4 linked regions of the Elephas maximus indicus genome follow. The protein of the gene in region 1 interacts with the protein of each later gene in a pairwise test. Links are inferred from orthologs where the notes say so. Each region holds a gene or a part of one and is shown on either strand. Other genes may lie near its edges.

Evidence for each region.
Region 2: the proteins of SDCBP2 (region 1) and EIF1AD interact in a two-hybrid assay, tested with the Homo sapiens proteins (3 studies listed by BioGRID and IntAct). The two-hybrid records come from large-scale screens. The link is inferred for Elephas maximus indicus from reciprocal best matches to the Homo sapiens genes SDCBP2 and EIF1AD.
Region 3: the proteins of SDCBP2 (region 1) and TNP1 interact in binary tests that used the Homo sapiens proteins (3 or more experiments, as listed by UniProt). The two-hybrid records come from large-scale screens. The link is inferred for Elephas maximus indicus from reciprocal best matches to the Homo sapiens genes SDCBP2 and TNP1.
Region 4: the proteins of SDCBP2 (region 1) and C2H1orf35 interact in binary tests that used the Homo sapiens proteins (3 or more experiments, as listed by UniProt). The two-hybrid records come from large-scale screens. The link is inferred for Elephas maximus indicus from reciprocal best matches to the Homo sapiens genes SDCBP2 and C1orf35.

Annotation. Positions count from the first base shown.
Region 1 is NC_064843.1:39,398,714-39,407,395, reverse strand, and holds the start of SDCBP2 (syntenin-2), read left to right. Parts: upstream 1-5,224; 5' UTR 5,225-5,282; intron 5,283-8,256; exon of another isoform or gene 8,257-8,344; intron 8,345-8,682.
Region 2 is NC_064825.1:129,139,551-129,147,620, reverse strand, and holds the start of EIF1AD (probable RNA-binding protein EIF1AD), read left to right. Parts: upstream 1-4,271; 5' UTR 4,272-4,563; intron 4,564-5,124; 5' UTR 5,125-5,208; coding exon 5,209-5,295; intron 5,296-5,431; coding exon 5,432-5,540; intron 5,541-5,636; coding exon 5,637-5,745; intron 5,746-5,916; coding exon 5,917-5,967; intron 5,968-7,373; coding exon 7,374-7,518; 3' UTR 7,519-8,070. Other genes in the region: BANF1 (barrier-to-autointegration factor), read right to left, coding at 2,315-2,461, 2,730-2,852.
Region 3 is NC_064824.1:115,321,128-115,327,150, reverse strand, and holds TNP1 (spermatid nuclear transition protein 1), read left to right. Parts: upstream 1-4,529; coding exon 4,530-4,668; intron 4,669-4,835; coding exon 4,836-4,864; downstream 4,865-6,023. UniProt on the Homo sapiens protein: Plays a key role in the replacement of histones to protamine in the elongating spermatids of mammals.
Region 4 is NC_064820.1:232,584,976-232,593,168, forward strand, and holds the start of C2H1orf35 (multiple myeloma tumor-associated protein 2), read left to right. Parts: upstream 1-4,787; 5' UTR 4,788-4,796; coding exon 4,797-4,854; intron 4,855-4,975; coding exon 4,976-5,234; intron 5,235-5,339; coding exon 5,340-5,385; intron 5,386-5,514; coding exon 5,515-5,597; intron 5,598-5,851; coding exon 5,852-5,924; intron 5,925-6,146; coding exon 6,147-6,232; intron 6,233-7,488; coding exon 7,489-7,623; intron 7,624-7,968; coding exon 7,969-8,101; 3' UTR 8,102-8,193.

The sequences.
Region 1 (8,682 bases):
GCTGAGTTGTCCCTTTGTTAGGTCTTAGATAGCACAGCTGGGGACCTCAGAAATACTTCATCCAAACCCTCCCAGGGCGAATATGGAGACTGAGGCCCAACGGAGCAGACACTTGATAGGAAGCTCTGACAGAGGCTGGTGTAGAACCCTCTTAGCCAGGACCAGATTGCTATTGCCAGTCATGATTCTCATTTAACAGATAGGGAGAGTGAAGCCCAGGAGGAACAGATGAAGCTGGCTCTCTGTCAGGCAAAGCTACCAGGTGGGGTGGGTTCCCACCTGGTTCTTCAAGCAGCCTTCAAAAGAGCAGCCAATGGAAGCAACCAAGGTGTCCATCAGTAGATGAATGGTTAAATAAATTATGGTACATTCACCCAATGGAATACTACGCATCGATAAAGAACAGTGACGAATCTGTGAAACATTTCATAACATGGAGGAACCTGGAAGGCATTATGCTGAGTGAAATTAGTCAGATGCAAAAGGACAAATACTGTATAAGACCACTATTATAAGTTCTTGAGAAAGAGTATAAACTGAGAAGAACACATTCTTTTGCGGTTACGAGACGGGGGAGGGAGGGAGGGTGGGAGAGGGTTATTTACTGATTAGTTAGTAGATAAGAACTACTTTAGGTGAAGGGAAGGACAATATTCAATACAGGGAAGGTCAGCTCAACTGGACTGGACCAAAAGCAAAGAAGTTTCCGGGATAAACTGAATGCTTCAAAGGTCAGCGGAGCAAGGGCGGGGGTTTGGGGACTATGGCCTAAGGGGATTTCTAAGTCAATTGGCATAATAAACTCTATTATGAAAACATTCTGCATCCCACTTTGAAGTGTGGCATCTGAGGTCTTAAATGCTAACAAGCGGCCATCTAAGATGCATCAATTGGTATCAACCCATCTGGATCAAAGGAGAATGAAGAACACCAAGGTCACACAATAACTACGAGCCCAAGACAGAAAGGGCCACATGAACTAGAGACTTACATCATCATGAGACCAGAAGAACTAGATGGTGCCCGGCTACAACTGATGACTGCCCTGACAGGGACACAACAGAGAACCCCTGAGGGAGCAGGAGAACAGTGGGATAGACCCCAAATTCTCATAAAAAGACCAGACTTAATGGTCTGACTGAGACTAGAAGAATCCCGGCAGTCATGGTCCCCAAACCTTCTGCTGGCCCAGAACAGGAACCATTCCCGAAGACAACTCATCAGACATGGAAGGGACTGGACAATGGGCTGGAGAGAGATGCTGATGAAGAGTGAGCTACTTGTATCAGGTGGACACTTGAGACTGTATTGGCATCTCCTGTCTGAAGGGGAGATGGGATGGTAGAGAGGGTTAGAAACTGGCAAAACGGTCACGAAAGGAGAGACTGGAAGAAGGGAGCGGGCTGACTCATTAAAGACTCATTAGGGGGAGAGTAAATGGGAGTATGTAGTAAGGTGTGTATAAGCTTATATGTGACAGAATGACTTGATTTGTAAACTTTCACTTAAAGCACAATAAAAATTATTTAAAAAAAAAAAAGAGCAGCCAAGATTGGGGTGCAGAGCAGGTGGGTGGGTGAGAGAAGCTGGGGGGAGGGGAAGATCCCAGCCCCAGACAAGTCCCTCCCCGCTCTGAACTTCAGCTTCTTCTATAAAATGTGGTAATAATAGCTGCCCTGCTTCTCTCCCGGGGCCCTGAGAGGTCGTTCTGCTCTGTCCTGGGAGGTGTGCAGGAGGCAGGGGACAGGAAAGTGGCCTGTCTGGTGGTGTGGGCAAGTCCCAGTCACCGGAACTAAGTGCAGTGAAGTGTGTCATGGTGGCCAGGAACTCTGGCTCCGGAGTCTGACAGGTTGGGGTTCAACTCTGTAACCTACCACTCACTGTCAGTGTGACCCTGGGCCTCGGCTTTCTCATCTGTAAACTGGGCATTATTATTGTAGGTAGGGATTGAAACTAACAGATGTCAATCACCTGGGGCCATGCCTGGCACATAGTAGGCCCTCAGCAACTGGTCTTCCACCACCCATTCCTGGTCAGAGTGGACATTTGCCACTCTTACTGGCTGCTCTGTTTTTGAACCCGCTTCTCATGTCTGGGGAATCCTCCACCAGAGGCTCCCAGTAGAGTAGCCCTTAAAGCCAAATGCTCGCTTTACCAGCATGCTTTGCAGTGAGGGCCTGCACACATGACCCATGCTCCACCAATCACAGCCCAATCTTTGCAGGAAGCCATGACCCAATCAGGCAGAGACCCAACCCATTCTGGAGGGCCTGGAGCCACCTGGGACAGAGCTCTGCAGGCCATGACCAGAGCCTGGAGCGTCAGCAGGATGACCAGTGTCTACCTGGGCCTCCAAGCCTCCAGGCCAGGTTGTCTGACTCTCCCAGGCTCTGGGGGCTCCCTGCTTGAGTGACCCACAGCCACAAACCCTGGCTGAACCCTCCCCAGGCCTGGATGCTGAGACACTCCTTGTAGGGGTGTCCTCTGAACTGATGACCTCTCACCCCACATTGCTCCCAGGTGTTTACATGCTTCTCCATGCCCGTGACCAAAAATTCTGGCTGGAGCAACCAACTTTCACCACGGAATTCCAAAACTAGACCCAGGCCTTGGACTAATGAGGGGGGCACAGGCCACATTTAGGGGAGATTACACATTTGCACAGGAGAAAGCAGGCAGGTTCTGGGTTCGAATCCCGCTTCCATGGGTTACCAGCTGCGTGATCTTGGACACAGAGCTTAAGTCTTTGAGCCTCAGTTTCTCATCTGTCCCATGGGATAACACAACCATCTTTTGGGTATGTTTTGAGTATTAAACAAGGTAAACGAGGAAAGCCTCTTGCCCCATGCCTAGCACCTTGCAGGCATTTGATTCAAGAAAGTGGGTCTGGAAGGAGGAGCTGGGCAGTTGTTCTCACACTGCAGTTTGCATCAGAATCATTTGCAGAGGCAAGTCAAATGCAGGTTCTTGGGCCCCACTCCCAGACAGCTGGATACAACAAGTGTAGGGTGGGACCCTGAATCTGCATTTTTAGCATGTCCCCCAGGGGCCTCTGCTGCAGGCGGCCGGGACAACCACACCTGGAGAAGCACAGGCTCCGAGGGGGAGGAGGACGGAGGTGGTGAGGGGCTGGCTGATGACCACTACATCACGGGGGTCTCTCCTCAGGGCAGCATCTCTGTGGCTGGGAGATTTACAGACTCCCTCAGGAACAGCCCAACTAGGATGTACGTCCCAGAAAGGAGCAGGCGATTTCTATCCGTTTGCTCTTGGATCACAGCAGTAACAGATTTTTTTTGCCACTTGAACAATGCCCGTTGTAAGAATAATAGTTCACATTTAGTGAGTATTCCCATGATCCAGGTGAAATTACTTTCCTCCTTTCACAGGTGAGGAAACTGAGGCCCAGGGCAGGAAAGTCGCTTGCCCAAGGTCACATGGCCTATGTGTGGGGATTTGGGCCCAGGCAGGTGAGACTCCGCAGCCCAGGCTCTACGCTGCCTCCCCTTCAGAATATTGCTTTGGGATACTATGGGGTGGCACAAAGTCCTCTTATGGTATGGGGTCTCTGGCGAGTGCCTGTGCTTCCGGGCCAGGGACATGAGTCTGTGGGAGTGTGGGGTCCCAGCTCCCTGGCTTCTGATTTTGGCTCATCAGGGCCTTCGCTGCCACCCTGGGAAATCTCTGGGACTCCGCTAGAGGGGGATGGGAAAGAGTCCGAGAGCCCAGACACTCCGATCAGTCCACAGCCAGGTCGGCTCTACCACTCCGGGGCTGTGTGGACTCGGGCAAGATGCTTCTGTCTGATTCCAGGGCCAGCTGGGAACAACAGACGGGTCAGGCTGTGCCCATTGCCCCGCAGAGCCCAGCAGGCATCAGGGGCCCGATAAATGGGGCTCTTCCTGTTATTATCCTGTGGTCCGGATGCAGCTGTCTGACACAGCCCTGGACTTGCTCCTGGTCCAGGTTCCACGCAGGGGGTTGGAGTGTATAGCTGGTGTCTCTCTGCTCAGCAGCCATTCCACCTTCTTCCGGTAAGAGCACCCCCACTTTCACATCAAACAGATGAATTGCGTTTCTGTAACTTGTAGCCAAGACTGATAGTATGAGGACGTCAGAAACATTATCGAGCACCAGCTGTGTCTTAGGTGCTTTACGTGATTCATTCGTTTAACCTCCAGGACAAGCCCGTACATCAGGTAGCAGCCGTCCCCTGTGGAGGTCTGGAAACTGAAGCTCAGAGAGGTTCCCAAACTTGTGGAATGTCACAGATCTGGAACTCTGCTCTGCCTACCACCACAGCCTAGCCCAGCTTTTACATAAGGGTGAGCTTACTTTGGACATGTCATCAGGAGGGATCAATCACTGGAGGAGGACATCATGTTGGGTGATGTAGAGGACCAGCAAGGGTGGGGGAGACCCTCGGTGAGATGGATTGGCACAGTAGCTGCAACGATGGCCTTAAACTTGCCAATGACTGTGAAGATGATGCAGGACCAGGCACAATTTTGCTCTGTTACTGCTTTGTTACTTATCTGTTGTACACAGAGTGGCCAGGAGTCGAAGCCAACTCAGTGGCAGCTATCCATTACATTTATAACTATGATGGACTCTTCTAGCAGAGGCATTCATTCAATAGACATTACTGAGAGCCTACATGTGCCGGTCACGGATCTAGGTCCTAGGGATACATGGTAAACCCAAGGCCCTGCCCTGCTGGGGGGAACCATTCGAGATGGCACAGAGATTTCATAGCACGGGCTGACTCCAGGTGGCAGCAGCTGCCTGTGGCATTATTGTGAGAGGATTCTGGGCCACCTCAGGGCCCAGCAGCAAGTAATGTTGGGTGGATACTCAGGTCTGTCATGGGTGCTGTTAGGGAGTTTCTGAGTGTATGTTGTATGGTGGCCACTCATGTTTTAGACTTTTGAAGGCTGTTCCACAGATAAGTAACAAAGCAGAATATGTCCTGCCCAGAGCACGGGCTCCAATTTTTATTTTGGAAATAGGCTAAAAAAAAAAAAAAATTTTTTTTTTTTTTTTTTTAGCCACTATAGACGTCCCTGGGTGGTACAAATGGTTAAGCGCTTGACTACTAACCAAAAGGTTGAAGGTTCCAATGAAGGTTCTAACCTACCCAGAAGCACTCGGAAGAAAGGCCTGGTGATCCGCTTCCAAAAGGTCTCAGCCACTGAAATCCCTACGGAGCGCAGCTCTGTGTACACACATGGGGTCACCATGAGTTGGAATTGACTCAATGGCAACTGGGTTTTTTTTGGATGGTAAGGAACTTTTTTTTTTTTAAGGAACTTAGGGTGTAACAATTAGCCTAATGTACACATGAACAATACAAGATGGCTGTATCAAAGAAAGGAATGGGACAGTCTGATCCAGAACACAGAAGCGGGAGAGGTCCCATGGATGGGAATGATCAAGGAGGCTCCTTGGAAGGGGAGCCCAGTGGACTTGGTGGGGTAGGGATGAGGAAACGCACCTCAGGGGAGGCAGCAGCCCAGGCAAAGGTGGAGTCAGGAATGCGTGTGCTGTGGGTACGAGGTGGGGTAGGAGTAGGGAGGACTCTGGCCTGGCAGGGGTAGAGATGTTAGAGGGACAAGGTTGAAGAGGTAATAAAGGGGTGGACCACAGAGGCCTCAAAGGTCAGGTCTAGGAGTTTAGTATTGGCCCTGAAGCAGTAGGGAGCCATTAAAGACTTCTGAGCAAGGGCATGTGCAATGAAAGATGTTTCTTGGTGGCTGGAGTGATGAGAGAAGTCAAAGAGATGGGCCGTAGCTATAAAAACCACAGAATAGAAAGATAGCCCTGGCATGTAGGTGAGAGTTGGGGGACTTGGGTCAGTTCCACAGGCAAGTCCCTTATCCCCTCTGGGCCTACATTTCCTTCTCCATTTTCTCTAAAGGCCCTTCCAGCCCATGGCTCTATGAACTGAGATGGGGCAAGGGGGCCACTTGGTTCCATTAGGTTCTCTATTTCCTTCTTTGCTTTGGCCTTGGAGACTTGGCCTAAGGTGGGTCCATCACCCATGGTCTACCCAGGGCTTCAAACCAGTTCCTTCCAGTCAGAACCCCTGCTGAGAATTTGCATTTCTAATAAGTTTCTAGGCAATGCTAACGCTGCTGGCTAGGGACCAACTCTGAGAACCACTAGTAGAGCAGCGGTTCTCAAAATTTATTATACGTAAAAATCACCTGGGGATCTTGCTAAAATGTAGATTCTCATTCAGTATATCTACGGTGGGAATGCAAATTCTCAGCAGGGATTTGAACCAAAATGAACCAGTTCGAAGCCCTGGACCTACCTCAGGCTTCAGGCCCATTTGCCTTTGTCCCTCAGGCGTGTCCCGTGCCTCAGCTTTTGGAAGTAGCATCTGTCTCACAGCAGACAAAACATGGCCTTGGGGCCATTTTCCAGCTGTGTAACTTGAGAGAGGGACTTTGCCTCTCTGTGCCTCAGTTTCTCCACCTGTAGGACTGGTGCTAATCACACCTACTTGGCAGGGATGGTACCTTTAAAGCTGCTGCCGGCAGGCTCATGGTGCTCTGTGGGCAGTCGGTGCTGCTAGTGGCAACCTCCTGTTGTGTGTCGTGGCTCCTGTTGTTTCGTGTGTGGGGCTCTCAGCTGTGAGCTCCTCAGAGCAAAGACAGTGTCCCTCCTCCATGGGGCTGACAACCAGCTGGGCCCCGGTCAGGATCTGACGCCCCAGGCGAGTGTAATTCTGCCCAAGCTCGTCATGGGGACAGTGACGTGGGCCTGCCAGGCCCAGCCAGGTGAACAGCCCTGAAACTTACCCCACCCTGGGCGGGTGGCCTGTGTCACTCCTCACAGGACTGACCAGCATACGTTTCCCTAGTCCCTCCCCAAGGCACCAAGTGTGACAGGCACCTTATCTAACCCACCCCACCAGGGTCTAAATGAAATCCCTCTCCCTTTTCTGGTTAATTTTATGGAACTATTTGTGGGATAAATAATATATTCAAATTTTTTATTTTTCAAAATTTGAGAAAGTGTGCTATAAAAAATCTCCTTACGCCAGTACACAGCCCCTTAGGTTGCCTCCCTGGAGAGAAGCAATCTAAATTCCTTTAAAAAGCAGTCCAGTTTAATTTCTCCCCCTACTCATTACAAAAATGATAAGCAATCAAAGCAATACACAAATTAACTTCAACACCACCACCACTTGGGAACACACACAAAAGTACAAACTGGAAACCCCACCGACAACCCCACTGCCTCAGCATTTTACAGCAGACTCCCCCAGACTGGTTTCAGTGCACATCCGCTTTTCAAAAAAGGAAAACAAAACACAAGGCCAGACTCCCAGTACGGACTCTTCAGTCAGTTAACAGTACTCGGGAACATCTCCTCAAGGCTTCTTCCTTAAACAACTTTAACAGCTGTGGGATTGTCCTAGATAATGACTTCTTTAACTGGACCCTGGTGATGGATGTTTGGGATTTCCAGATTTTTTTCTACTATAGGGAACATGGAGATGGGTTTGTGGAAGAAGAAATGCCAGGTCACATGTTACGGTCACTTTAAAGACCCCTGGATACCTGTCACCTAACCACCTTCCCCACTCTCAGCAAGACTGGTCTTCAACTCAAGTCTGGATCTCCTCAAGAAAACAACACTTACATTAAAAAAAAAAAAAAATCAAGATGGAAAGGATTGATATAGATGAACCCTCGAGAGGATCACCCAGAAATGCCCTTTAAACTTGGAACTCAAACCACTCCCAAAAGTCATCTTTCACTCAAATGACAGACTGGCCCATAAAATACGTAATATCACCGATGTGTACTGTGCTTCTCAAAACAATCGTTTAGATGAAACCACATGGTGAACATTTACCCGGACCAAGATGAGAAGGCAAAGGGAGGGGCAGGGCGGCTAGATTAATGGAAACATGACAAGCAAAATGGAAATGAGGATGCTGATCTATTGTGAAGAATATAACAAACGTCACTGAACAATATGTATAGAAACTGTTAAATGAGAACCTAATTTCTGTGTAAACTTTCACTAAAAACACACGAAAAAAAAAAAAGACCAAGAAGTCTTGGTACATACCTGTCTCAGCAATAGCTACGTGCACTAACCCCACCTCCAAATTGAGAGAAAGGTCAAACCCCTTCTGCCTTTCCTGGGTGGCCAGCCATTCTACCATGAGTCAGCTGATCAGGGGCGGGCACCACCCTGCTCTTAGCTAGCAATTAGCCAGCAGGAACTCCAGCTGGGACAACAAGAGCCACCACCTTGCTGGGGGGAAGAATACTCTCAGCAGTTGCTGGAGGACAGAGGACGTGCGGCAACACCTGGCCTGCAGGTAAGACTGGGGCCCTGCCCCTATACTGGCTGGGGCTAGGATGAGTGAGATGTGCTCTGGTCTCCTTCCCTCCCTGCGTCTTCCCTTCTGGGATTTCCCAAGCAGATTCCTCTCAAGGTGCTTTGCCCTTGGTCAGGTTTGAGAGACGAGCGGTCTTCTCTCAGATATCATGCAGTCATGACATCATAAGACCCCAGGCTCCTCTCACTGACCATGACAGTGCTGGAGGAAGTGGGCCCTCTGAAGGCCAGGGCTGCAGTCCGACAGAGAGCTTATTTCCACAAGGCTCTGGTACTTCCTTCTTGGCCCTAAGCTGGTTCTATCAACAGCTGCCCTAC
Region 2 (8,070 bases), on another chromosome or scaffold:
GGATGGCCACTTGCAAGCTTTTAAGACCCCAGGGACTATGCGATGAATGAGGTAAAACAGAAGCACTGAACGCATCATTAAGCCAATTAACTGTGACATCCCATGAAACTATGACCCTAAACCTCCAGGCAAAGAACTGAATCCCATGAGGTGTCTGGTTGTACGTAAGCTGCCTCGGTAGCTACTCTTTTTCTTTTTGTCATTGTTGTAAATATTATCTATTACACTTCTGCCAATTCAACTTATTGACAGCAATTACGTTAATCAACTGTGTAATCCTACCTTAATCAATGCAATTGATTAAGCTCAGTACTCAGCTTTTACTGTATCTTTTGATGAACAGAAAGTCCCTGGCTGGTGCAGTTAATGTGCTCGGCTGCTAACTGAAAGGTTGAAGGTTTGAGTCCACCCAGAGGTACCCTGGAAGAAAAGCCTTGGCAACCTACTTCTGAAAAAGCTGCCATTGAAATCTTACACAGACGGTCCTTCGGTGGTGCAGATGGTTTGTACTCGGCTGGTAACCAAAAGGTTGGTGGTTTAAACCCACTCCATGGCACCGCAGAAGAAACAGGCCTAGCGATCTGCTTCAGTAAAGATTACAGCCAAGAAAACTCTACGGAACAGTTCTACTCTGTGACACATGGGGTCTCCCAAGTCACAAATCGACAACAAAATTCTATGGAGCACAGTTCTGCTCTAACACGAGGTTGCCATGAGTTGGAATCAACTTGACAGCAACTGGTTGGCTGGCTGATGAACAGAAGTTTCTAATGGAGTTGAATTTATCAACTTTTTCTTCTTTTAGAAATTCATCTCTACTCTGAGATCATAAACATCTCATATTATGTTTTTGTACTTGTCTTTAATAACTATCATTCTCTCCTCCCCAGACTACAAGCCCTATGAGGAATAATTTTATTTATAATGCAAGCAAGTAGCTCCCCAATGGTGCTGAATGCCAAGCAGGGCCAAGCACTACACAGTAGTGCTAGCGTTTCATTAGATTCTCACAATCACCCCATTTTCTAAGTGCGGAAGTTGAGGCTCAGAGAAGCCAAGCAACATGACTGAGAACCACAATGTTCCCAGGTACACAGGTTTTCAAGCTGGAGTTCCAGTCTGGCTACTTCGTAGTAGCAAGTCCACAGACAAAAAAACCTCTCTTAACCAGATTTCCTCATCTGTAGAAAACAATTAATGATCGTTGTGAAAAAATAAATACTTGTGAGGATCTTAGCTTTGAACCTGGTATATACTAAACCAAAAAAAAAAAAAAACCAAACCCACTGTCGAGTCAATTCCAACTCATAGCGACCCTACAGGACAGAGGAGAGCTGCCCCATAGTTTCCAAGGAGCGCCTAGTGGATTTGAACTGCTGACCTTTTGGTTAGCACTGTAGCACTTAACCACTACGCCACCACAGTTTCTGATATGTACTAAATGTTCGACAAAGGACAGGAATTAAATATACTGAATAAAAGTGTAACTCACTCTCTCCTGGCTGTAATATTCACACTACGTGCCCCTCCCCGCCGCCCTGCAGACAGCACGCAGATGGCAAGAGCACTGCCCACTTCTCCTGGAGGCTAGGGAAGGACATGACCACAAGTGAGCTCACACCCACATCTGGCCCACCTTCTTCCGACCACCTGACTCCCACTGACTTTTCCACCAGGTGCTGCTTGGTCCGGCTGTTGATTCCACCATGGGGAGCCAGAGCCAGTCTGGCTCCCAGGAAAGGATCAGCCTGCACTCTCTCCCACATTGATTGAGACACTCCACGGCACCTGCCGAGGCCCACAAGGCTGGGGTGGCTGCCCTCTGGGAGTGGGAAGGCAAGTTTCGGTCTGTGCTGATAAGGAGCACAGGATGCCTGCTGGGTCCCCAAGGAAGAGGCCACTCCCAGCCCACTTCTCAACACACAAAGCCCAAACCTGAAGGCCACTGACTTTATTGATTTAAAAAACTTTACAAGGACAGTGACTATTCTGCCAAAAAAGAGCCAAATGGCATAAAAACAGACCAGATGTGAGGGTGAGAGTGAAGGAAGGGGCCAAGAATCCACTCAGGAAAGCTGGTAACTATCGCCATGGAACTGGCAGAGGGAGGAGGAGGATGGGGAATTCATGCAAAAGTGAGAATTCCAAAAAAGTTGAAATGGTGATGGGACAAAACTCCTAAAAGATTCTGGAGCACGTTGGAGGTGAGCCTGACAACAGCAATCTTTTCCTTGTAGAGGACAGGGGAGGAGTCGCCACTCAGCTGCAAACTCTGGAGACTCAGGGCTGGGGACTGGGGGCTCCCAAGACAGCATCACAAGAAGGCGTCGCACCACTCTCGAAGGCACCCAAAGCAGTCCCGAGACTGCTTGGCATTGGCGCCGCACGTGTCCTTGAGCCATTCCCGGAAGAGGTCTTCATCCTTCTTTAGTACCAGAAACTGGCCAAGGACCACATACGCCTGCAAAACAGGCAAAGCAAAGGGCATGCCACAAAGTGCATTGTGGGGTTAAGAAAGCCACCTTTGAGGTATTCAAAGCACATAAGCCCAGGAGGCAGAATGAGTTTGCCTGCTTCACCTCCACCAGGTGACCAACTTCAGCTGTCTCTTAAATTATACTCCACTCTCCACCCCCCAACAAGTACATTCACTTTCCTCACTCCATCTGCCAGAAAATAAATGGACTCCCACCTCCAGCCCCCCCAGGCAACATGCGGCCACCCCACACCTTGTCAAAGCCCCTTTCCTCCAGCTTCTTGCCCAGGACTTCACCAATCCCGGCCAGGCTCCCCACTGGCTTTTCCCCCATGGGCTCTGCCACGAAGTCTCGGTGCTTTTGGGAAGTTGTCATCTTGATCAGGCTTAATCTGGGAATCCCAACAAAAAGCAGGTTAGGGCTGAAGACCTGGAAACTCCCTAGAGGCCACTAGTAGTCCCATATGACAAGGGAGCTAGGCCAGCCAGTAGGGTAGCTTACTGAATCCCCTTCATTTCACAGATGAGAAAACTGAGACCCGGGGAGAGTCTTTTCTCCACAAGGATAGTCTCCGACTTAGAATGCAATCCCATTACCACGAACTGCACTTACAATCTTTCCTTATTTTTTAAAAATATATATTTTAACATCAATAATATGTACTACAAAGCTCCCACAGGTAAATTGTGCTGTTATCATTCCCGGGTGTTCACTCGCAGTTGTGCAATTTTATGATTTTACTGTTCAAAACACAAAAACTTAAAAAGAATTAAAAAAAAAAAAAACAGGTATCCAACTTCCATCAGAACCGATTTAGGACGGAGTCAGCAGAACGAACCCCGTCGTAGATCGGGGACCTCCTGCACGCAAAAGAGAACTCTTTTACTTCCTGCAGAAGCCGGGTTTTGGTTTTGGTTTGGAGAGGGAAAACTCTCCTGCCCTAACAGGTGGCAGAGCGCTGGCAAATGGGAAGATTCCCAGAGTCAGTAGCCAGGGCACGCCCCGCGGCTGTCACTCCCTCTGTGACCTTCGCTGGGCAAAAGCTGACCCCGGCTAAGAGGCCACCTGGTCTGAAAAGCAGACGAATGGTCTCTGTGCTCCACCCGCACGCCACGGCTGCTTACGGAGCGAAGGCACAGGCAGAGAGCGCCCGGAGCCGTCTTCCCGCCGGCCGGGTCGCGCTGGCTTCCAGCCGCGCTCGCTCCTGCCGCCCCGCCCCTGCACGCGCCGCGTTCCCACGCGCAGCGCAACGCCGCGCCCCGCCTCCTCCACGCGGCGGGCGGACTCCTCTCGGGGGGCTCACCCTTAGCCTCCCACCGCGCTTTCGTGACCTCTCTCCTCCCTGCTGTCCCGCGCCTCCTCTAGCCTCTCGCCGGGCCCTGCTCCGCAGCTCGCGCTCACTGGCAACTCACACGTAACGGCTCCTCTCGCCACCCGGCCGCTCCCGCCGCTACCCCAACAACTAGAACTTTCTTCGACTTCCGCTTCCGGCTCGCCTCAAGAGCCGTCTTCTAAAACCCAAGTTGGGCACTTCTAGCCTCTAAGCGCCATAGAGATGAGGCATTTCGGTCCTCGACCGCGCCCTTAGGGGCGCTCTTTTCCGGTAGCTTCGCGGGAAGCGGGCTGCCTTCTATGGTCTCACTTCTCAGGCGGCCCTTCCGGTCTCGGAGCAGAGGCCGCGGAGGAGAAAACTTCCCTTCCCGGCTGCCCGGCCCCGGAACTCAAGGACTTAGCCCCGGCCGACCTGGCGGTGGGAAGAGTTAGAGGGACGGACAAAGTGGCGGGGGGGGGGGGGAAGAGTAGCCGTGTGGCTTCCGAGAGCGCGCCGGAAGTACAGTTCTCGGACGGGTCTGACTGAGCCTGGCCTTGTTCGTAGCGCTGTCGGGCTGGTAGGAATCGGGAGGGACCCCAGAGCACCGAAGAGCTGAGTCGGGGCCAGCGCCACCATCGTGACCGCCAGAAAATCCCTTTTCCGTGCCTTCGTTGGCTCTTCTGCGAAGTGAGTCGTGGAGGAGCCGCTCTCAGCGTCCGACCTGTAGAGCGGGGTCGCTCGGCTAGCGCCCGTGGGAGAGTCGAGGGCCGGAAGGTGAGTGTGGTTTCCTGGGGTAGGGGAGAGAGGAGGGCAGGGGGTGGCAGTTAGGGGTGACGCTTTAGACTTTGGAAACCATCACTCTTGGTTACTGGCTTGGACCATCGCGGTGGGCTCCTAATTAGCCTCTGCGTGTAGTGTGTGGAGAGATTATAAACTGAGCTTCTGTGTTGCCGTGGCTGTGCTAGACTTGTGACGTCCAAGCTTGTCGAAGTTACAGTTTTGTACTTGAAGAAACGGTTTTAGAGTATGTAAAAAAGTAAAAGTACGTATAGTTGTATAATTATAATTTCTCAGATATTTACGATAACAAGAGCGTTTTTGAGCGCTTACGGCATTTCAGTGTGCCAAGTGCGTAACTTACATTGTCTCATACTGTTAACAGTGCTCCGAGTTAGGTGTTTTGTTTTGTTCAGCAAGCCCTAAAAAGGTTGAACAGCTGAGAAGTAGTCAAGGTAGGATTTGAGTCCAGGCAGTTAGCCTTCGGAGCCCATGTTCTTAACCAGGACACTGTGTGGCTCGCTCTTCAGTAAGAGGCCATTCCCATTTACAAAACAGTCCTGGGCTCTGAGCCTGCATTCCGAGGAACTCAGGAGAAGTTGACAGTCTCTGCGTCCCTCACGCCCGAGGACGGAACCCAGCATGTCTCAGGCCACCAAGAGGAAGCATGTGGTGAAGGAGTTGCTGGGGGAGCACATGGTGCCCTCAGACCAGCAGCAGATTGTGAGGGTGAGTGGCATGGGGCACAATTTGCTCTATTTCCCACCCCCATTGGACCTCTGGGGTCCAGGTAGGGTGTGGTGCAGCTCAGAGGGCCCTTGATCTGATGATGAGACAGACTGGTTCTCCCTTGCCCCTGAACCAGGTACTCAGGACCCCAGGGAACAATCTGCATGAGGTGGAGACGGCCCAGGGGCAACGCTTCCTGGTGAGCATGCCCTCCAAGTACCGAAAGAACATCTGGATCAAGCGAGGTGAGGGGGGGTCCCCTCGGAGACAACCATTTACCATGGCCTTGGCTTCCTGCCTGCACCAGGACTGACCTGGTCTTTCCTCCTGTTTCCCTACAGGGGACTTCCTCATCGTTGACCCCATTGAGGAGGGAGAGAAGGTGAAGGCGGAGATCTCCTTTGTGCTCTGCAAGGACCACGTGCGCTCTCTGCAGAAGGAGGGGCTCTGGTAGGGCGCTCCCCTTCATTGTTGGCTCCCTGGCCTCTGGGCGGATGGACTTTGTATCCTTGTAATTGGGGAAGGGAAGATCATGGCATCCCAGGCAGAGACTGCTGGAAACAGTGCTTTTGCCAAGAGACTTATTAGTTTTCTCTGACCCTGTTTTTTCTTTTGGCGCAGGCCTGAGGCCTTCTCTGAAGTGGCTGAGAAACACAACAACAGCAGGAACAGGTGAGGAACAAGCTTTGAGATAAGTAGACGAATAATTTCTTACATAAGGATCAGTACAAAGCTGGTTCCTCTGAGGCAGAGACTAAAGATGCCCCAAGTGTCTAACTTTTCTAAACTGCTGTCCTAGTCCGTTTTTTCTAATGTCATTTACTTTTTTTTTTGTCAGTTCTCTTTTTCCAGTTTTTGGGTTCCCTAGTTTACTGCAACATCTCACAGAAGTCAAAAACCTGTATAAAGGAAGTGACTCATGTGGTTATGGAGACTGGCAGGTTCCAAATCCACGGGTCAGGCATAGGGTTCTCCCAACTCACATGGCTATAGGGGCTGATGAACCCAAACCAGCATTTCAGACCACAGGCTTTTGGCTCACAAGGCTGTAGAAGCTGGTGAATCAAGTCAGATGATAGGCTGCAGGCCCGTGGGGCTATAGAGGCTGGCGAATCTCAGAATCACCAGGCTTGAGTCTGAAGAACTGGGAGTCAGTCGATCACAAACTGGACGCTGGATCCAGATAGAGAGCCCCACCAGGGCATCTACATATACACCTTAGATGCAGGTGACACCCTAGGGAAGGTGGTAGCTTGAGTAAGGGTGGGACTTGAGTCACGCCCTCCTGCAAGGCTGCAACCAGAGACACTCCAGTCCTGTCTCGTAAACATGTAGAGGTCAGCATCCACGACACTTAAGATGGAGGACAACCATACAATACTGGGAATCATGGCTTAGCCAAGTTGACACATAACTCTGACCATCATTGGTTCCATATATTTTATTTGCATGGATTCACTGTCTTTATGTGTGAGTTATAAACATCATGGGTAGAAGGGCTACATGAAGTAATTCATTACGTCACAAGAGGGAAGACAGAAAGTAGGGGTCCAAGCCCTGGTGTCAGGCTTTCCTTTGTCACTACACAGGGTTTCTGGTAAGGGTTCTTTAATATGTGATATAACACGTGTGTGTAAGGGTGGATTAGAAGATTGATCAGGTTCGAATCTTGGTTTTTGCCATTTAGAGCAGAGTGCTATTAAGCAATTTACTTAATCTCTCAATTCTCACCTGTCTTCTCAACAAAATGGGAGCTTAGTGCTTATAAAACTGCTTAGTGTGGTATGTGATGTGGGCTCAAGGAGTGTTAGTTGGTGGTGGTAGAATCGTTGTTCTTAACTAAAATGAGTGGGTCTAGTAAAGTTGGGGGTGGCTGGCAGTCTTCAGCCTGTTTCTTTGGCCAAGTTTTCAACTGCTCTGATTCTGTGCCTCATTTTAGTCTTTAAGGGGTTGTTGAATTTTGGCAGGCCTGTAGGGCCCTGACTGCTTGGCCAAATGATCCTTCTTTTTGTGGGGCCCCTTGGTTGCAGATCTGGTTTTCCCAGAAGGCATTGGGCTAACTCTCTTCTCCCATGCAGACAGACTCAGCCAGAACTCCCAGCTGAGCCCCAGTCATCAGGAGACGAGTCCAGCTCTGAAGACGATTCTGACCTCTTTGTTAACACCAACCGCAGACAGTATCATGAAAGCGAAGAGGAGAGCAAGGAGGAGGAGGCAGCCTGAGACCCTGGGCCCACCTCTCCACTAGCTCAGAGACTAGTCCCTGGCTCCCCTGGGCTCAGACATTCCCAGGGTGCCCTGCAGCTCTTCCCCCCTGGATGGGGACAAGGCAGGGCCCCTCTCTGAACAGACTTTCCTGACCGACAGGAGAATTAAACCCCTGGTGGGTGATGACTTGTGTTGGTGTCCGTGTGGCTCTTTGGGAGAGGATGGACATGTGAAGTAAAAAACGGCATGCTCTTTGGTGGAAGTCTCATGGGCCAGTGGCCGAATGGCAGGGAAACGGGGACTGGCTGGACTCTTCCCCCAGGTGGTTTGAGTTCTTTCTTTTTGCATCGTTGAATGCTTAGGAAGTGCCTGGCCCTGTGCTGTGTCTCCTTGCATGTGTTTGATGATTAGGAGTAGCCCCACCTCATTGCCTGCTTGCAGTTAATCCCTTTGGAAGCAGTCAGGGTCACAGCCCTGGAACCTAGGGTCCACCTGCCTCCAGGAGACACTCAGGACAAATCCCGCAATGCCTCAGGAGCCGCAGTCCCGGCCTTTTATGGTCCTCCA
Region 3 (6,023 bases), on another chromosome or scaffold:
TCAATGTGTGGTGTATTTAGTAGTAAAAAAGTGTTGATTGCTATAATGTGATTGTAGAACATAGAGAATGTGATCATAATTCATGTTTTCATCCCAAGATGTTTAAATTTGGCCAAGAGACCTCAAAATTTACACCCTTCCTCTAAGTAAAACTTACTACCTCTTCCCAGATCTCCTTGTCCCTTATGTATCAGATTCTGTATATGACCCTAACAGCACACATGTGAGAAAAAAGGCAAATAGAACTGAACATAAGGCCAGATTTACTTTGAAGTTAAGCAGGAAAGGCAATGTGGAGCAGTGGGCAGACTTGGGACTGGAGATCAAGAGTCCTACCTCCAAGCTCTGGCACTTCTACTGCCTGGATACAGTTTCTTAGATAAGGCTCTTCACTTCCCACCCTCACAAGAGCAGGGCAAGGTGGCCTCTGAGGAACATCTCTTGCCACCATTCTTGTGATGTATTTCCCATCTGGCACCCACCCATTCTCTCTGCTCCCGAAATACAGGAGCTGTTCATGGAAAGTCTGCTTGGGTACACTGTCAGAAAGGATGGGAGAGGAGCCTAGTGTAAAAATGGGAAAGAACCCCAACAAATCTTCAGGCAGAACCCAGACCATCCTCAGAGCCAAGATGGTCTCTGTGTTTCCAAGAACTGGATGGGAAAGGGCAAATGGAGTTGAAGTACCTCCTTCATTTTCCTCTGAAAACCACCCTTTGGCCTTGGTCTCTGGCCTCTCTTTATTCCCTGCTGGAGACACCAGATGGGTCCTGAGCTAAGAGAGCTCCGCCCTCAGTGAGGCCCCTCTCTCTGCAGCTTTCTCCTTCTCCAGCCTGTCCCTGAGCCCTCTTGGCCTGCCCAAGCTGCAGCAGCAGCAACAACAGTATAGAAGACAGGGCGTGCATGTGAACAGGGTAGAAGGTCTCCACTTCCCAGCAGAGGTCAACATCTGGAGAGACTTAGATTTCAGAGAGGGATTGAGACTGAGTCATCGACATGTGTAAGGACTGTCAGCAACTTTTCAATGTTCCCTCTTAATGAGCCCCAATTCCCAGCCGGCTGGAAAGATCCAGCCCTGTGAAGACTTCCATTGGACTCCCCAGGAAAACTGATGGAGCAAGTTTGAAATGGGGAGGTGAGATGGGACCCAAATAGAGGTTTGACTTCCAGAGCAGTAACACCCTAAGCCTGTCCCTCCCTAACCTAAGAAAGGGGCCAGTGGGAGTACTGGCACCCAAGGCGTTCCCTGCGGTGCCATTTCGTCCATCCTTCTAGAAGATAAAAACACCATTCTGTCCATCTGCCTGTCTCCAGGCAAGATAATTCTCAGCCCCAAGAGAGAAAGGGTGATTGCTTCTTTTCTAAAAAAGCTAGAAATTCAGTTACGTCTCTCCATGTTCCAACAGCTATCAGAAAAATATCCACTTCCTTTCGTCAAGAGAACCACAAGCTAATAGAGAAACCAAGGTGTGGAGGAAGCAGGTTTATTGGGCCATCTCTACTACTGGGTTATTTGAAGTAGCTGAAGCCGTTGGGTGGCACAGACAGTTAACCACTCCGCTACTAACCAAATTCACCCAGTTCAAATTCACCCAGAGGAGCTTCAGAAGAAAGCTGCTGATCTACTTCTAAAAGGTCACAGCCTTGAAAACCCTACAGAGAGCAATTCTACTCTGCATAATGGAGTTGCCATGAGTCGGAATCGACTTGACAGCAACCGGTGACTGGTTAATGCAGCCTTTCTGTGCCTCAGTTTCCTCATCCAAAAAAAGAGAGAAAGAGGAGAAAACGAGAGAGTCAGAAGGCCTAGTTCAGGGTCCCCTAAAAGTCGAGAATGAGCTCACTGTGCTCTGTCTAAATTGCAGCTGGCTCATGCCACACAGGGGCAGAAACGGAAAGAGAAACAGACAGCAATGCCCAACACTCAATCCCGTTCTGTCCTCGCTGCAGGAGGTCTGATACAGAAGCCAACCCAAACACCCCCCCAAAACCCCACCCTTGTCTGCCCTGCAAATCACCTCCTCTCTCCACCCCTCACAATGGGCTTTCTCAGCATATGTGTCTGAAACAGAGCTACTCCTTAACTAGTGGCGTCACTAGGGTTGGCGTCACCCAGTGCGGTAACGCATGGTATTACTCCCCCCTCTCATGCTAATCACCACAATACTGTAGCTAAAACACCAGAAAATCTCACAAAATCAGCGACTATAAAAACATTGGAGTAACAAAAACAACAGCATGTGCTTGTAGCGTGTACAGAGAAAATCACATGATTTGAAGCGTCATTGCAGTTGGGTAATAATGACAGCTCTGACCAGAGCACATTAGAAAGCTCAAAAAGTAAATGAGCATAGAATTTTAGCCTTGTAGGTATATTGATACATGTAAGCTGGGCTTATGGGAAAAAATTTTGTTGTTATAACTAAATACAGGAATATTTTATAAAAAATAATAAATTTTTGCTAAACACTGCACAAAAATTTTATAGTCATTTTTGTGTCACCCCCCGACAGTCACCTGGTCTGGTCCACACCGCCTGCACCCGCTATTGACGCTACTGTCCTTAACCCTATGCAAGGCGGGGGGGGCTTTTTTTTGTTTCTTCATCAGTTCTCAAGTCTGGCTGATTTCTTCTCTGTGATCTCAGCTTCAACTTGGCAGAGCAGGTCTTTTAGGGGTGGGAAGGATTGGGGAGAGAGAAATATTATCCCATCTCTAAAACCATCCAGAAATGTCTCTTAAAAGCCAAAGAGGCCAGTTTCTCGGCAAGTTTTTTGGCTATCAGACTCAGGCATGAGAGGAGAGCACAAAGCACCAGAGGGCCTATTCTGGAGTGTTATGGATTGAACTATGTCCCCCCAAAAATATGTGTATTGTTTTGGCTGGGCCATGATTCCCGGTATTGTGTGATTTTCCTATATGTTGTAAATCCTGCCTCTAAGATATTAATGAGGGAGGATGGGAGGAAGTTGTGTTAGTGAGGCAGGACTCAGTCTATAAGACTGGATTGTGTCTTGAGGCAATTTCTTGAGATATAAAAGAGCGAAGCGAGCAGAGAGACAGGGGGACCTCATACCACCAAGAAAGCAATGTGGGGAGCAGAACGAGTCCTTTGGACCCGGAGTCCCTGCGCAGACAGGCTCCTAGTCTGGAGGAAGATTGATGAGAAGGCTGACAGAGAGAGAAAGCTTTCCCCTGGAGCTGACACCCGGAGTTTGAACTTTGAGCCTACTTTACTGTGAGAAAATAAACTTCTCTTTGTTAAAGCCATCTGCTTGTGGTATTTCTGTTATAGCAGCGCTACATAACTAAGACATGGAGATAATGTCTTTTTTTTCTCTTTCCTGCTTAGATACTCTCCCACTTCGTGTGCAGAGCGGTCCTGATGTGCTAGACTATCTGTCCTTATAATACTAAAGCAGCTGGAATGAACAAATGCTTACTGGTCACCTCCTATGGATTGTGCTAGCACCTGTGGGGAATGAAGTAGGAATAAAAGACACAGTCCCTGACTGCAAGGAGGCTCCTGCAAAAGTCAGATAATCTCAGAGATCACCTAACCCAACTTGCTTACTTAAGAAATAAGGAGCTAAAGTCTGAAGAAGTGATGTTTGTGGTGCATCAGATTTAGAAACAAGAAGCTCAGCCTCCTGCCTGGGGAGATGAGACACACACATGAAATAGCAATGGAAGGTTCCAGACAGTTTAGCACAATTGGGGTTGGTTATATAGACGTTGAAGTCCCTGGGTGGCACCAACAGTTAAGTGTTCATCTACTAACTAAAGGTTGGTGGTTCGAACCCACCCAGAGGCTCCTCAGAAGAAAGACTGTGATCTGTTTCCAAAAGGTCACAGCCTTTGAAAAGCCCTATGGAGCAGTTCTACTTTGACACACATAGGGCTAAATAAGTCAGAAATGACTAGACCGCAACTGGTTGATGGTATCCAGACTTTGAGGCCAATTATAATATTGGGAAAATGAACTTTAAGCAAATTTCAATTTCAAAGGACAACGAAAATTTGAAAAGCTCAGGAAGCCTTCCTTGGAGAGGAGGAGTAAAATGGGAAGGAACAGGAGATTTTATTTTGGCATTTCCTGGAGACAAGTCTTAATAGAAGCATACTTCTGTTATCTCCAAATGCTATACGAGAGACTTAAACACACATATATGCACATGCTCAATGACCGTTAAATTTCCTACAGGTAGGAGATAGGTACTTGATCAGCCTCTTGCACTCCTCAGATGCCTGGTACAGGGCTGGGATTTGTTGCTCAGTAACACTTGTCTGAAGGGAGAGCCTCATCTAACATAAAAAGGGCCTCAAAATTGAGAGTAGGCCTGGCCTGCATTAAAGGGCCACCTTATTTCACATATATGACCAAAGTGTAACAAAGGCTAGTGACCTCACCATGGAGCCCCACCCTCCTGCTAAGCCACGCCTCCTCACAGTCACAATGGCTAAGGCCTTAAATACCCAGACTCCTGGCCTCTGGCTTTGCAAAGCCCCTCATTTTGGCAGAAATTACAATGTCGACCAGCCGCAAATTAAAGAGTCATGGCATGAGGAGGGGCAAGAATCGATCTCCCCACAAGGGGGTCAAGAGAGGTAGCAGCAAAAGGAAATACCGGAAGGGCAGCCTGAAGAGTAGAAAAAGAGGCGATGATGGTGAGTGAGGGATAAGTAGGGGCACAAGCAAACAAGATGCTTGTTGTTCCAGGGATCTTCCTTCCTGGGGTTAGTCCTCCTATGACCCTGAAGTCTCTTCATCTGGGCATGAAAGGTATTTCATTTCTAATCAGTGGTCCCTGTTGCAAATCTGTCCTTCCCCACAGCCAATCGCAATTACCGCTCTCACTTGTGATCCCACCAGTGGGCTCTGCCCTGGTGGACGGCAAACACCACCAGGCAGCAGTGAGAAGACAGCAGAGGGGGACTGCCAAGGAGACCTGCTGGAGTTCAATCAAAGCCAGTGAAGATCCTATCGCACGGGGGTAAAATGCCAGCTGTGATGAAATGAGGAATGTATATGTTGGCTGTTTCTCCCCAACATCTCAATAAAATTTTGAAAGCTGGAAAGTTTACTTTGATCTTTTGGTTGGAAAGCTGGGGTTCCTGAGCTAGAGAGACTTGCATGTTAAATGACTTGGAGAATATCAAAGTACTTTGTCCTTACTACTCCCTCCCATTGTACCTCAACTCCATATTTAGGTCTTTGTTTCCCTCGCCAACAAGGAAAAGGGAGAAGAGATTAAGTGCCAATTATGAGATTCTTGTCAAAGGGCGTATAGTACGGGGAGAGACACCAAACTATGTGGTAAGCAGTGGAGAACACTCAATAGAACCACTAATGATTGCATAGGCTCGGTTGGCTGGCTGAGATGGGGAGACAAGGCCATGATGATAGAGACAGGCTTTAGGGGCTTTAGTTCATTTTGGTAGTTATGTTGGTATTATAGATTTTTTTTTTTTAATATAACACTTTCTACTAATACTTTTTCTACTAATTCTTTCTCCTAATACTTTCTTTTCTGCTACTCAAATTCAAAACCAGATAATTTGACTCTGATGCCCTAAATGAACTCTAGCCAGGTGTGCTGGAAGTAAGCACAATCTGGGTGAACCTTATTGATCACCAGGTCTATTGCTGGCTCCACTCATTTAGAAAATTCCTAAGCTCTCCCATATCTTAACCTGGGTTGTGATATGGCTGATAGTCTCAGGCCACATTAACTGACACTTCCACTCAGCATTCACCCACTCAGACAGGGGGACATTTTTCTTAATGACTACTTCCTGTTGCTATGCTGAAGCAGTACACCAGCATAGCACAGGTGGAATTGAGCTTGAGACATGAAGAGACATGAATGGGAACATGAAGCAACATGAATGGGAACATGAAGCAACAGTGAGGGTGTGAGAGGCATGGTACCGGGAGCAGACCAAGGGCAGAGGAGACTATCTGACTCCCTGGTATGTCTGAGTACCAGGGAGGTGCCCCTGTGGGGCAGATTCTAGCAGTT
Region 4 (8,193 bases), on another chromosome or scaffold:
CACGGGAGGGGCTCAGCTGCTGTTTGTCGACTCCCACTTGGGTCTGCAGCATTTTGCAGTTTAAATTGACAGGGCTTGTCACGGAGTCAGAAACCCTGGTGGCGTAGTGGTTAAGTGCTATGGCTGCTAACCAAAGGGTCAGCAGTTCAAATCCGCCAGGCGCTCCTTGGAAACTATGGGGGCAGTTCTACTCTATCCTACAGGATCACTATGAGTCGGAATCGACTCGACAGCACTGGGTTTGGTTTTTTGGTTTGGTCATGGAGTCTGTGACCTGCCTCCTTTCAGTTCCAGGGGTTGGTTTCACACAGACCCCAGCTTCCTCCAAGACCCGAGGAAGCAGTTTCCAGCTGTTCCAGCTGTGGCACTACTCTGCCCAGGCCTGGGGGCTGGTGTCTTGGGCCTGGCTGAGCCCTGGCCCTCAGGCTGCTTGCAGACCTGGAGAGCCTCACAGGCCACTGGCATGGCTGGGACGTGGAGATGGCCATCTGTCAGAGGTTGCCCTGCGGTCTGCTGTGCCTGAATGTAGCTGCCTTCCCGCGAGGTGGCCACGTGTAGAAGGTGGCTGAGGAGAGTGCCCAGCCAACAAGCTGCTCACTTGCCATCTGACGAGGCTGCTGCTTTCACCACTCTACCTCTTCCCAACCCTCCTGTTCCTCCATCGCCTCCATGAGGAGACACACCAATAGCCACAGCTTTTGTCCCCATAATGGGCCTCTCAGACCCCTCACTGCAGCGAGTCCCCGTCTCAGTGTCGGCAGGGCTCCCTGACCATCTCCATCCCTGACCTTTGCAGCCAGACTCTACATGGGCTGTGTCCACTTGCTGTCCTGCTGCTTTCTTCAGACTTTCAGCCCAATCCCTCTGACACTGCTCTTGCCAGGGTCACAGGCAACCTCCGCATTGCTCAGCCCAAAGGTCAGTTCGCAGCCCTCATCTCCACAGGGCAGCCCCTCGGTTATCTTACCCAGTCTCTGAGCTTCTAAAGCTCTCTGCACTGGCAACTCCCAAATGTGCATCTGCAGCCTGGGCCCCCGCCTTGCACCCTTCCCCGCTCAGCACCTCTTCGAGGAGGTAGAGGCCACCTCTGGCTCACTGGTCTGCCCTGAGTCCCTTCTCATCAGGGGCAGCTCATCCTCACAGCGGCTCAGCCCACTGCAGGGGAACCATCCTTGGCTGTCATCCCACATCTGTCTACCAGCAAACCTAGACCTTCGGCACACCCCACATCTTGTCCATTATCCATTTTCAAACCCTACAGCTCTGCCTTCATGATACGTCCAGTGCCTGCCACAGCCCTACCCCATATCCACGCCTACCCCTGGTCTTCCCCAGTGTCACCCGAGGCCCACCACAGCCCTGTTCCACATCCACGCCTGCCCCTGGTCTTCGTACCTGTCAACCGGGGCCCACCACAGCCCGGTTCCACATCCATGCCTGCCCCTGGTCTTCCCTGCTGTCACCTGGGGCCCACCACAGCCCTGCTCACATCCACTCCTGCTGTCTGGTCTTCTGCACTGTCACCCGGGGCCCACCAAGGTGGCCTCCTCCCCAGGCTCCTTGCTTCCATCCAATGCCTCCAGCATGTTCTTCACGCCTGCCAGCAGGAGCCTTTCCCTGTGGGTCACCACGTACTCCTGTTCCCTCTCACTCTGGAGGAAAGCCCTAGTCCCTGCTATGGCCTTGGGTCCTGCACCATCACCTTACCACCAAGCATCCTTGCTGTTTCTCACTGTAGCCTCTGCGTGCAATCCTCTTCCTGCCTGCTGGCTCCCCGTCCTCCCTTCCAGCTCTCTGCTCAGACTTGGTCCACAGCACTTCTTATCCCCTGGGTGACAGTATGTATTTACACGTGTGGTGTGTCTCCAGCACCTGGCACAGTGCATGAGAGGTGCTCAATAGGCATTCACTGAATGAACGAATGAGTGAATGAAAGAAAAAGGGGCTGAGGCTGCACATGTCGAACTGACCTGGGCCCTGAGTGCAAAAACTGGGCTTGTTGGAATCCGCTGGGTACCTATTTTTCATATAACATTATTGAATATAATGCAAGAAAAGATGTATTTACATGTATAGGAAATAAGCCAAGTGGACCAATCCTGCATGTCAGCTCTCCAGTCGTTCACACAGTGAACAGAGCCAGTGCATGGCAGCACCTCACACCCCTGTCCTCCTGCCCCTCTGACCCCAGGGTTACCACTGCTGACATCTGACAGCATGAGTCAATTCCAGCGGCTCAGACGAATATGACCAGGTCCAACTGTGCTGCAGACAGGCCACTCGAGAGGAAGGGGTGGCAATAGGTGAGCCGGGAGAGGGACAGTCAGGGCTTCCACACCGGCGGGCAGTGATGCTGTCTGAACGGGAGCCTTGGAGAGGGGCATGCCGGTGGTATTAGATACATGGTGTTGAAGGTGGAGAGGCCCCGGGGCAGGTCTGCTGTTGCAGGGACTTGTCTGATGCCACCAGAGTGGAAAGGGCCGCCAGGGACAGTGGCATAGTGGCATATCAGGAGAACAGCTTAGGGGAGAGTTGGCTTTCTCTGGGCCACGCATGAGGAAACAAAGGCCCAAAGGTGATCTGGCAGTAGTACAAGGCGGACCATCAGTATCTCTAACTCTTACTGTATTACACAGGGAGACCCCAAAATTAAAGGGCAAGCAAGGATGTCTGAGAAGGTGAGGCCAGAGAAGTAGGAAGGGCGGCTTGGAGCAGGGTGAAACAGTCTGGTAGCCTCTCATAACTGCACATTCCTTCCCCAGCCTTATTGTGCCTGTGATGTCACAAATTGCACAACTGAGTCCATCACCCAGTGCCGTCGAGTTGATTCTGACTCATAGCGACCCTATAGGACAGAGTAGAGAACTGCCCCGTTGAGTTCCCAAGGAGCGCCTGGCGGATTTGAACTGCCAACCCTTTGGTTAGCAGCCGTAGCGCTTAACCACTGTGCCACCATGGTTTTCTGAGCCCATCAAGCTCCTGATTAATTGGTGGCGTAATGACCGGGACTCACTGGGAAACCCACAAATGTTTAATGACTGACAAGGGGCAGGAGTAGGTTGTGCGCATGTGGATGGATGGGCGTGGATGTCTGCATGTGTCTAGGTGCACAGCGTACTCTGCACTTACTGATACCAAGGACGTGCAGCACACAGTTTACAAATAGCAACGACGCAACGATACTCGTTACCGTAAATTCCGTACAACTACCTGATTCTCAGAATACTTTTGTTGGTTGTCACCAAACTCTTGTATACACAGCCAACCTATGGTTTTAATTCCACCACAATTTGGCAAATAAAGTAGCGTCCTAATCCCCTAAATGTGTTATCATTGAATCTCATATGTCACCTACCGTTAAACTATGGTGATCAATGAGATGTTTTACACAGAAATATTTTTAAATGATTGTTTTCATTCTGCTGTTGACAGTTGCAACTAATGATTTTACAGTTCCAAATGAAGATTTTTAGGAATATTTTCCAACAGCTTTGTAGTTACTTCAGATTTTCTTCTCAGCATTGCCCCATCAGAACAAAATACAATGAGGTTTGTTTTTGAATATTCATTATTAAAGCCACAGTAATTGATGGTAAACCATAGTGTACTGAAACCATAATCCACTGTGGTGGATACCAGCTCTTTTAAAGCAACAAATAAGCTGACTGGCGGAGGCAGGCACTGGCCGAACTGGGCACTGGAGTGTAGTCACGAAATGCCTGGTGGTTCAAGTACCACGTCTGCCGTTCCCTTCTATGATACCTTTAATTATCTTCATCTTAATTCTTGTGATTTGTCCTGTTACTCTTGCTCTACTGAACAGCTGACCTTTCCAGTTCTCTTGAAATCTTATTGCCCCTCAATGCCAGGTAAAGCCTATTATGTTTTACTAAACCATGAACCGTATTAAAAACTTCTATGGTAGCATCAGTATTTTATTTAGTTTATACGCTAAACTGGGAATTGAACCATTTATTTTACAAATCTTGAACTTTAGCATGGGTTTTAGAAACAAAATATTCCTTACCTCTTTGTTCGCAGAGAACCTGCCTAGTGCCTACTGCCATTTGGAGTTACCAGGTAAATGCCACACGCTTTTCCCTGTCACTCTTAAATGCTGAATGGTTGCACAATTCTTACGGCCTAATTTACCTTATTGGATTTCAAGCCGCTGATGTATTTCTGTAAGCATAAATGCTTGCTTTTTATTCCAGCCATCTGGACGTCCAAGATTATTTCTTCCTTTGAATAGCACGATGATTTTTCTCCAGAGATGGGCTGTCCACCAGATTAGATGTGGCAGTCTGCTTCTGTAACGAATACACCCTTGGAAACCCTATGGGATAGTCCTGCTCTGTCCTACAGGGTCGCTATGAGTTAGAATCGACTAAGCGGCAGTGTTTTTTTCTTATTACCTTCTGTCACTGTTTTCACCTTTTTCACGTTAAAAAAACTTATATCGCTGTCATTTTGGCATCTTAGGGATCAGATTCTGAAATACAATTTTTGTGTTATTAGCTGGCGGTCAAGCCTCCCGGCCACCCCATGCTACAGAGCAGAACTGCTTCACAGGATTTTCTTGGCTGTAATCTTCACGCAGCCGTGGTGACACAACAGTTAAGCGCTCGGCTGCTAACGGAAAGGCTAGCGGTTCTAACCCCCGCAGCGGGGAGAAAGACCCCAGCGCCGTGCGTACACAGAACAGCCGAGCTGCCCCCTGGCGCTGGGGGCGGGACCTGGCGCGGGTGATGACGTCGCCGCGCGCGACGCGAGGGGCGGAGCCGACGGCGGTGCGGATGGCGTCACCGCGCGCGGCGCGGGGGCGTACGCTCGCAGGAGCTGCCGCGGCGGCCAGTGAGGGCGGGCGGCGGGCCCGGGCGGGCTGGGCGAGCGCGGGCTGGGCGGCCTTGGACTTGGCCTGGGGCTTGGAGGGACTGGCCAAGCGCGGACCTCTCTGTCCTCCCGTCGCCCGCAGCAGCCGCCGGCACCATGTTCGGCTCCAGTCGAGGCGGCGTCCGCGGCGGCCAGGACCAGTTCAACTGGGAAGACGTGAAAACCGACAAGCAGCGGGAGAACTACCTGGGGAACTCGCTGATGGCCCCCGTGGGCCGGTGGCAGAAGGGCCGGGACCTCACCTGGTACGCCAAGGACCGCGCCGGCCCGGTGGGGCTGAGCCGCGAGGAGGAGCTGGCGGCCGTGCGGCAGGCGGAGCAGGAGGCCCTCATGGCAGCCCTGTGAGTGGCCGTGCGGGCCGAGGGTGCAGGCGCCCCGAGGGCTGGGAGGCCCGGGGTGGGATGGGGGACCGGCCCCTCCTGAAGCGTGCCTTGGCCCCGTTGCAGAGGCTACAAGAATGTGAAGAAACAGCCCACAGGCCTGAGCAAGGAGGTAACGGGCCGAGGGGCCCCGGGCCGAGGGAGGTTCGGGCAGTGTCGGGTCTGAGGTCGGCAGGGTGGCCTGGGCGGGGTGGGAGGCGGCTCTGGGGCCTGCGAGGACCTTGCCTTTCTCTCCCCACAGGACTTTGTCGAGATCTGTAAGCGGGAAGGAGCAGACCCTGAGGACAAGGGTGTGGACCGGCTCCTGGGGCTGGGGAGCTCCAGGTGCGGGGACAGGGGTGAACTCTTAGGGGTCCTCCTGGCGACGGGGTCTGTCAGGACTGGGACTTGCAGATTAAGGACCTGAGGGAGATGTCAGGGATCCGCAAGTCCCAGAGAAATCGAGGGCAGGGCTCCTCCCCGTGGGCCCTGCCAGGTGCCCAGGTGAAGCAAGTGCAGCAGGGCTGCAGGGCCTCCTGACTGGGGCGCAGCTCGGCCTTCTTCCCACAGACGCATTCCCTCCTCGTGTGTTCTTACAGTGGCTCCGCCGGCCGAGTGGTGTTGTCCAGAGAAGACAAGGAGGCTGCCAAGCTGGGGCTGTCGGTGTTCACAGTAATGTCCCCTCCCCCAGAACACACCAGGAGCCCATGCTGGCAAGATGGGAGGGGCCTGGCTTCCCCTGGTGCTGTGGGCCTGAGGCAGGGTCCTCTCCTCTCTGGGGGCATTCCCAGTCTCCTGACTTGAGAAACCTGGGCTTGGATGGCCTGGAAGCATCTCAGGGTTGTCCAGGCCTTCTCCTGAGTCCTCACCTGTGGCACTGGCTTCCCTTGGCAGCACCAACGAGTGGAGAGCAGTGGGGCAGAGACCTCCCCAGCCTCAGCCAGAAAGAAGCTGCACTCTGAGGAGAAGGCGGAGCCGTGGTAAGGGCCTCGCTTACGCAGGGTCCACAGGCAGCATACCCACACTGCGGGATGCTGGGTTTAATTTCATACTTAAAATTTAATTTTAAGAATTTCCATATTTGGGGCCAGGCCACTTTAAGCCACACCCCAGAGGCTCCAGAGCAGAAGTTTGAGTAGCACAGAATTGAAGTTTCTCTTCGCACATCTGGTTGCTAGGAAATTCTGAGCCAGATGGGCAGGCTGCCTGCTTGCGGTAGAGTGGAGGACGTGGCTTTTGCCCCTTCCCATGTTTTCTCGTTGCCTCCTATTTTGTCATCTTGGGAACCCTCTGAGTTGTTCCCGGATGAGAAGGTCAAGTTGCAGGCATACTCAGTGTGGTCCTGGAACGGCCCTCCAGCTCCAGCAGAGTCAGGTGGCCACTCTGGCACGAGGGCCGAGGCTGAGTCCTGGCCAGGGAGGGCCCGTGCACCCAGCCCAGAGGTGAGAAAGGGCCCATAGGTCCGGCAAGGAGTCGTGTGTGGCAGCAAGATGCTCAGAGTCCATGTAGAGAGTGCAGTGGAGACAGGCTGAAGGCAGGTTTGAGGCCAGGTGGTAGTGAAGGCCCTGTACTGCCAGGCTGCACTCTCGTGCCTGCTGTGTGCCAGGCAGTGCCGGGCCGGGCTGCACAGGGTGGTCAGCAGACCTGCACTCAGGCAGCTTGGAAGGGGGGCTGGGTGTGTGTGGGATGCGGAGTGGGGTGAGGGTGCCCAGGGCTATACTTAGTGGGCCAGTGTACTGTGCCATGACGGGTATGTTCCTGCCTGCACTGTCCACAGTGGAGCTGCTGTTCATGGAGACTTGAGAACTTGAAATGTGGCCGGTATGACCAAGGCACTGAATTTCTCATTGCTTTCACTTAGTTGGAAACCCTGGTGGCGTAGTGGTTAAGTGCTACAGCTGCTAACCAAAGGGTTGGAATTCAAATCCGCCAGGCGCTCTTTGGAAACTCTATGGTGTAGTTCTACTCTGTCCTATAGGGTCGCTATGAGTCGGAATCGACTGGACAGCACTGGGTTTGGTTCACTTAGTTAATTTAAATCAAAGTAGCCACACATGGGCAGTGGTTAACTTTGTGGACAGCACAGGTGTAGGCCCCTCTCCCTGTGGCAGCCCTGTTCTGGAGGGCTCTGTCTCACCCACTGCTGTTCACCGGGCCCCCTCCCGCCTGGCACAGAGCAGAGCTGTGGAAGCAAGGGCTAGGGCTAGGGCTGAGGGGTCTTGTGCCCCTCTTGCAGCTCTGAGAGCCACAAGAAAAGCAAGAAAGAAAAGAAGAAGAAGAAGAAAAAGAAGAAACACAAGAAAGAGAAGAAGAAAGAAAAGCACCACAAGACAGAGGTGGCTGCTTCTTCCATGTCCCCGTCTCCTGCTAGGTAGGCCCAGCTGTCAGCAGAGGTCTTGTGAGGGGTGGGGGGCCCCTAGAACAAGGGTCAGGCTGCAGAGGACGGGGTCGTGGCATGCCCACAGTCACACGGCAGCATGGAGACCTTCTTTGTGCCTGGGGGCCACATGGTGCCCACAGTGGTCGGCACAGACACCATCTTCTCGCAGCCTGACTGGGCCGAGGGTCCGGCTGTGCCTGGGAGCTGCATGGTGCCCACAGCAGTCAGCACAGGCACCTTCTCCCAGCCTGGCTGGGCCGAGGGTTTGGTGGACTGGTTGCTGTGCTGGCCCTGGTGCACAGCCCCTCACCGGGCCATCCCCTGGCCCTCCCCTAGGCACAGCCGCCAGCATGACTCAGGTTCCTCGGCCAGCGACCACTCCTCCCCCTGCTGCAAAAGGAGGAAGTGGGGACATGGCGTATGCAGCGGGAGGAGCCCCCAGGCCCGGAGACGGCATGATACAGACTGACGCCTGAGCCGAGTGCAGCTGCTGACTGACCGCCCTGGGCCCCAAGGCCCGCCTCAGCCCACTCACTGCTTGGCTGTGACTGTGACAAGTGG